Linked DNA regions of Rattus norvegicus. Each later gene encodes a partner of the first gene's protein in a complex. Links are inferred from orthologs where the notes say so. Each region holds a gene or a part of one and is shown on either strand. Other genes may lie near its edges.

The links. Proteins that work in one complex are often made in the same cells at the same time.
Region 2: Med1 (region 1) and Med4 share a complex: the UniProt entries of both Homo sapiens proteins name them as parts of the mediator complex. The link is inferred for Rattus norvegicus from reciprocal best matches to the Homo sapiens genes MED1 and MED4.

What each region holds. Positions count from the first base shown.
Region 1 is NC_086028.1:83,682,700-83,686,448, forward strand, and holds the start of Med1 (mediator of RNA polymerase II transcription subunit 1), read right to left. Parts: upstream 2,847-3,749; 5' UTR 2,647-2,846; coding exon 2,622-2,646; intron 1,792-2,621; exon of another isoform or gene 1,717-1,791; intron 1-1,716. UniProt on the Homo sapiens protein: Component of the Mediator complex, a coactivator involved in the regulated transcription of nearly all RNA polymerase II-dependent genes.
Region 2 is NC_086033.1:55,112,567-55,116,215, reverse strand, and holds part of Med4 (mediator of RNA polymerase II transcription subunit 4), read right to left. Parts: intron 2,820-3,649; coding exon 2,733-2,819; intron 1,223-2,732; coding exon 1,091-1,222; intron 533-1,090; coding exon 360-532; 3' UTR 1-359. UniProt on the Homo sapiens protein: Component of the Mediator complex, a coactivator involved in the regulated transcription of nearly all RNA polymerase II-dependent genes.

The DNA.
Region 1 (3,749 bases):
TCTTAAGTATGGCATCAAAGTACTGTTTGACAATGCCTAACGCATCCTTTAAGAGCACTAGCTACTCTTTCAGAGGATCTGGGTTCAAGTCCCATCACCCACATGGCAGCTCACGGCCACATGTAAATCCAGTCCCAGGGAATCTGCTGTCCTCTTCTGGACTCTGAGGGCACCAGGTATATACTTGGTACACAGAAATACAGGAAGACAAAACCACTACACACATGAAACCCATATTCTTTAAAGAAAAAAAGATTTATGTTGTGTGTGTTTGGTTTTTTGTTTGTTTTTTGACTCATGCATGTATAACACGTCTGTGCAGGGAGGCTAGAAGGCACCAAGACTCCTGAAACTAAAGCTACAAATGGTTGTGAGCTGCCCTGTGGGCATGTGCTTCCTGGGAGCCAAATCTAAACCCATGCCAAAAACTCCCCAGCTCTGTCTCCAGCCCCTCCCTGCTTTTCCTTCATTTCAGACATTCTCTCGCCACCCCGCTGACCCCCAAGTCCATCTAGCTGAGCATGACCTTGGAGGCTGACAAGGTGGCTCCCTGAGTAGAGGCATCCCATGCCAAACATGAGAGCCTGGGTTCACGCCCCAGAGCCCACAGTAGCTACAGTAGACCACCTCCAAATACAGAAATATAAGGGGTGGCCTCCACATGCTTGTCCCTCTACCCGGGCTTGCATTACAGCCCAGACTCTCCTCAGTCATCTCTTGTCTCCTTTTCTTTAGCCTCCTATGGCTGTATGCCACTATAAACAGACGCCTTTTTTTTTTAAGACTTTTTATTATGTATACAGCATTCTACCTACATGTATGCCTGCAGGCCAGAAGAGGGCACTAGATATCATTATAAATGGTTGTGAGCCACCATGTGGTTGCTGGGATTTGAACTCAGGACCTCTGGAAGAACAGACAGTGTTCTTAACCACTGAGCCATCTCTCCAGCCCCCAGACGCCTTCTTTTTTATTTATTTTGGGGGGTTGGGGTTAAGACAGAGCTTCTCTGACTGTCCTGTCTCTTTGTAGACCTGCCTGGCTTCAAACTGAGGGATCCCCCTGCCTCTGCCTACTAAGTACTAGGATTAAAGGCATGAATCATCACCACTTGGGGACCAAATTCAGGCCTGTTTTCATGTATGCACAGGAAGCATTTTACCAACTGACTGGCAGCCTTTTTTTTTTTTTTTTTTTCTGGACAAGGTCTTACTTAGCCTAAATGAGCCTGAACTTGCTGAGAAGGAAAGGGCAGTCGGGAAGTCCTGCCCCTCCTGCCTCTACCTTCTCAGTGGTGAGACTACAGGTATGCAATGCCCAGCTTCTGTTCAAACTATCCACTGAAGCAAACAAAAAACTTGTAATTGCATACATAGGGATGCAATACCTTGAAGGATATATTTTGAGCACAATTTGAGCTAGGCATTTCTATAATTAGTTTTTAGTATGAAAACAATGACATCATTCATTTTTGTTGCTTTCTCCTTTTTTCCTTTTCTTTTGGTGCTGGGGATTGAACCTGTGGGCAAACGACCTTGCTCTAATATCTGCAGCCTCTAAATTATTTTTAAATTAACAAACAAAGCAATGGGTATCATTTTGGCATTCTTATAGATGTAAGATGTTACACTGGGTCTGAGTCTTCTTCCTCTGACAGCCACCCCTGCCCCAACCTCAAAACAGTCAAGGCTTCCATTTAGTTCAAACTCCATTTACCTTTCTATCCTGAAGATCTCCTTCTTTCTCACATGGTCCCATATTTTGACAACCAGTACACCACGCCAACACATACTTAAATTGAGATTCCGCATAAGAGAAAATGTGGTATTAGCTAAATACAGCTTATTTTGAGTATCGTCCACTTTCCTAAAAATGTCGAGACTTCATTTTGGATAAGCCAGTCTATCTGAGTTAAGGTTAGGAGGGGGATAGTTAAACCAAGATTTAAACTCTTAGCTGGCTATGATGGTATGTTAAGCTGGCACTTGGGAGGCTGATGCAGGAAGACCTTGTCTTGAAAGAAAACAAAAAAGACTCAATCCCTTCCCTTTTCTTCCTTCAACTGGGAAAGTGGTTTGGGTTTTGTTCCTGCTAGTTCATAGTTCTGAATACATTTCCCCCGAGCTTTAAAGCCATTATTCAGGAACAATTGAAAGAGTAGTTTTTAAAAACACAGCACAGTATTTGAACACTATGACATTCCAAGAAACTACTAGCTTTTATTATAATAAAGACCGCACCATGTCACTCACACCAAAACATCCTCCATCACTTTGACACATTGTTCTAGTGTCATCTTCAGCGATCTCTCCTGGAACAAAGCATCAAGTTTCAGTTTCACTCTCCTGGTAACCCACCAGGCTAAGCTGAAAGTAACCTGAAGCTCATCTACTTGTCCCTAGTCTTGCAGAAAATCTTTCACAAGGGGAGGCGAGGCGGAGCGGAGCCTCAGTGTAGGAGCTCCAACATCCGTAAAGCTCGGTCAGGATCCACCTGGATCCAGTTCCGTGCACAGTGGCCCTGGGGGGACGGGGGGGGCGTGGGTCCCCACCTCCGCTCACAGATTGGCTCCCCACAGTTGTGTCCCGCCCCTTCTTCCCCCCCACCCCCTAGTCACTCACCCTCGGTTTCCCCCTGAGCCTTCATCCTGACAGCGGTGAGGTCTTGGGTCCGCCACAAGCCAGGGAGCCTTTCCCCACCACTAAGAGGGGAACCAAGTTAGCCTGGACTCCGGGGAAGCAGCGCACCAGCGGCCCCCACTCTTCCGGGGAAGGTTCAGTCTGAAGTCCCCGGCGGCAAGAAGAGAAGGGTGCTCGCGGCCGCCGCCATCTTCCCCAACGGAACTTCCCAAAGATCGCGAGATTAATCGTGTTCCTGCAGGCAGAGGAAGAAGGAACAGCACCAAAATCTCGCGGAAATTGGCTGATTCGCCCTTCCCGCGGGATTTCCAACAGGACTGTCTCCGATTGGCTCAGTCTTCACACCTTTCCGTGGAAAGAGTTGACATCTCTTAGAAACTTTGCATCTTGTCAGATACACGTTTGTAAATTAGAAGCGTTAGCTCTTTGGCGCAGCGTTGGTGGCGCAAGCCTTTTATCTCAGTAGGCAGTGGATCTCTGAGTTCGAGGCCAGCCTGATCTACAGAGTGAGCTCCAGGACAGCCACTGCTACAAAGAGAAACTCTGTATCAAAAACAAACAGGGGTTGGGAATTTAGCTCAGTGGTAGAGCACTTGCCTAGCAAGCGCAAGGCCCTGGGTTCGGTCCCCAGCTCCGGAAAAAAAAAAGAAAAAAAATTTAAAAAAAAAAAAACCAACAAACAAACAAAACACAAAGTACAACAGAAAAAGTTAGCTCTTTGAACGCCTGGAGAAGTAGCACATTCCTATAATCCCAAAAAGGAAGGAGGATCGCAAATTCATAGCCACTTCAAGCTCCATAGTGAAAACCAGTCGTTACGAAATAATCTCTCTACTGAAAGATTTCCAATGAATTTTAGTATCCGTAATGCCAAAGGCAGTCAGGTTTGCCTGGCTGTGGTGCGTGCCTTTATTCCCAGCGCTCCGAAGGCAGAGGCAGGTGGCTGTCTGTGAGTATGAGGCCAACCTGGTCTACAGAGTTTTTGGACAGCCAGGACTGCACAGAGAAACCCTGCCTCGGGGCTAAAAGTAAGATTTGTGATATGACAAGACGTGCAACTCACTAGTAGCACACATGCTTCATGTGCCTGAAGTCCTGGGTTTAATTCCT
Region 2 (3,649 bases), on another chromosome or scaffold:
TTGTTCTGCTACCCTGATGGCTCAGTTTATTACATAGCTCAAGGCGGCCCGACACTCCCAGCAATCCTTCAGCCTCCCAGGCGCTGGGACTAAGGCAGGAGCCTGGCTCAGTGCCCTTGGTAAGTACTCTCCATGAGTTGTGCAGTTCTCCTTCAGTCTCATCCCATAGCTGCTATGTACAAACCAAGCACAACAGTAATTGTGACAAACCCTCAAACACGTGTGTAACAGATGAGAACCAGCAGTTCTGGCTACAGGAAGAAAGACCACTGACTTTCCTGGGCTCCTTAGAGGTCTGTGCTTTCCATTTCCCACTTGACAGAACTCTGTGGCAGTGGAGTCTGCATGCCACCCCTTTCTCAGTCAGAGTCACTGCTGCTGCTTGAGGAATCTGTTGACATAACCTCAACGTCATCTTCATTTTCTTTGTTGTGCCCGGGAGGCTCCAACAGAAAGTCAGTGCTATGATTTGGCGGCAGCATGTTCACAGACATGTCATTTGACTGCCATGGGTACTGTGGAGCAAGGACATCTGAGGAGAAGAAGCATAAGGGATTGGTTCTACTTGTGATCCATCTACTCGATCCCCGCCCTCTATGCAAGAATCTTAATCTTATCTACCTACCCACTTACCTTACAGTACCAAGATCTAACAAGAAGGATTCGCAATACTAAACACAAATGAGCAGATTCCCAAACCCACATGTTAACACAGAAGTGATAGCTTCAGAAAGCACAGTCCCCCACTTATGTCCTCTCCTTAGAAAGATTCTCTCACATTAAACATGGCACCTACAAAATGAGCTTATTCTATTTGTGAGCATGCCTCAGAACTGCAAAAATGCTCTTCAGAGTGGTCACGATAAGGGAAGGCCAGGCCTGGGGAGGGTGATAGGAGATAGATGCACGTGAGGGACAGAGTGGCTTAGGTCAGTGACCTATGCACCACTGCTGGGTCTTTGGATGAAGCACAGAACAATAAACTGGTAGGGAATCTATGTAACAATATTGGTGCCCAATGCTAGACACTGCCTCACGGCCACCTCTGAATAACCCTGTCGCTTGAAAACGCCTATCCAGTTAGCATTACCTGGCAGTCTACCTGCTGCAAGGGCATCTCCCGGGAGGTGACCATTCACACCACTGGTAGAAGGATTGTTCATCTGACCCAGCAATCCACTTCTCATCTCTAAATCAGTTGGGTATGGCCGTCGAGGGTCTCCTAAAACAATAAAGACAGCTTTTAACTCAGGTTTAAAATCATGTATATATTCTTGAAGAATTAGCTGTCCTTGTTCACACTAAAGGACCGGAGCGCTTGTAAGACAGGTCTCAGCAGGTAGTCATGCTAGCCTCAAGGCTGCAGGCCTGCCCCGGCCTCTTCACAGCTGCCTACGCTATGTGCTACCACACCTTGCCTGAGGTTACCATTACTATTCTCAAGCTGGGTACGGCGGCACACAACTTTAGTCCCAGGTCTCAGGAGGCAGAGCGAGGCAGGACTCTGACTTGACCTGGTCTACAAAGTGAGTTCCAGGACGGGGAGGGCTACACAGAGAAACTGTCTCTCAATGAATAAAAGAAAGGGGGCTGGAGGAGAAAGAGACTATATTATATTAATTTTTTAAAATCATTTATTTTTCTTTTATGTGCATTGGTGTTTTGCCTCATGCATGTCTGTGTGAGGGTGTCAGAAGTCCGGGGGAACTGGAGTTACAGACAAGTGAACTGCCATGTGTGAACTTGGGATTGAACCAGGTTCTCTGCAAGAGCAGCTAGTGCTCTTTATGACTGAGCCATCTCTCTAGCTCCCAATATTAATTTTCAAAATGCACACATTTTTGTTTCTTCTCTGAATCCTCCCAGGAATATACATTCTATGTTTTGTAAAAAACATGGGGGTGGTAAAAAAAGTAGGGGTGGTGGGCACATCGCCTATAATCACACCCGTAGCCCAGCATTTGGAAGTAGAAATAGGACTGCACAGAGGCAACTCAAGGTGGAGGTGGGACAGCTCAAGGTCACCTTCAAATACATAAGATAGAACCAGACTAGGAGACATAAACCTGTCACAAAGAAACATACACAGACTAGTTTCTACACCTCTCCAGTTTTATCACAAGAACCTACTGTCATTCCCATCAAAGAGGGACACTGAATAGCAGTTTGGGATGGCACCCACACCCAAATTTGGTAATATTTCTCACCAGGAATTACCCATCCTCAGACTGCAGCCACCGTCATTGTGTTCAGCAACAACAAACACCGGTCAGGAGTGAGCAGAGCCCAGTTGGCTCTCTCCATCCTCCACGGAGGCCGCTGCTCCAGCTCTGGTTTCCCATCTCCTACTTGATCTGCAGTGCTGGGACTGCACTGTATTATCTTTGCTGTCCCTAATGCTCCCGCTCTTCCCGGCTGGTGAACTGCGCTGGGTGTTTGTTCTGTGACTGCCTCTCAGGCTGAGGCTTTGCAGGAATATAATGGCACTGAAGGACTGGCTCTGGCCAGCCTGGGTGTTACAAGTATATGAACCTATTGCTTTGAAAGTGTCCCAGATTGACCTATTAGCACTAAAAGTAAAATGGAAAAAACACTTCCCATCACTGCTTGGTAAAAACAATGTAACAGGAATTAGTTACAGTATCCTTCTGTGTTCTACACAGGCACTTAGAATGCTACAGATGCACCTCAGGACGCTTAACCTGCATTCATCTGAAAAGAAGCACTGTTACCTGGAACCCAAGTCAGTGGAGCACATACAGCATTGCTGGCACTGATCCTGTGTGCGTACTTAATGATTTCTTCAGAGGAGATAGCGCCTGAGTTGAGAAAACAGAACAGGACAGACCATTAAACACAAGCTTAGAAGAGCACACGTCACAGTCACACACCACACTTAACTATCAGGCTCATCTCAGCCATCTATCCTCCCAAACACCTTCATGTACACCAAAACTGTTACACATATATGTCTAACTAAAGAACCAAGGCACCCACTCGGCGAGGTCAGCTACCATAAATCTAAGGCCAGCATGATAATGCTCAGTAATCTCCATTACTGGCCGACGGCAAATGCAGAGCTCTTCTGAATGTCACAGTGAGGAACAGTAAACCAAGGGGAGAGCTTTTCGTTCCAGCAACATCCAAGCGGCTAACCAAACAGTCCACATCCTCTGTGACCACAAAGGAAGAGGCTCTACATGGACTGTGCACCAAACAGAAACAGCAGTTACCTCTGAGGAATGGGAAGATTTGTACTCTATGAACTCTAGACCTGTTTCAAAAAGCACTATGGATTCCTACCCAGTCCTGATTGATGGACTCAGCCACCTCTCCTACAGGCTTGCCTCTGCTACAGAAGCCCACCCGTCTCTCTGAGAATATTAGCCGTTTTCTTGGGTATAACAATGAGAAACAGATTCCATACCGGCAAGCAGAACAAGTCAGATAGAGAAATGGTTAACTGTAACCCAAATCCACAGAGCATTAAAGCGACAGCAGAGACTTCACTCTCGGTCTCCTGACTAGAAAGTGTAAGGCCTAAAGGCCGAGCGGCAGGCACGTGTACAGCTGATGCTGACTCCAGTGTTCCCTTCTCAGGTAGTTGTGTGGATTCCGTCATTATCTCTGCCTACAAGATCCAAGCTCA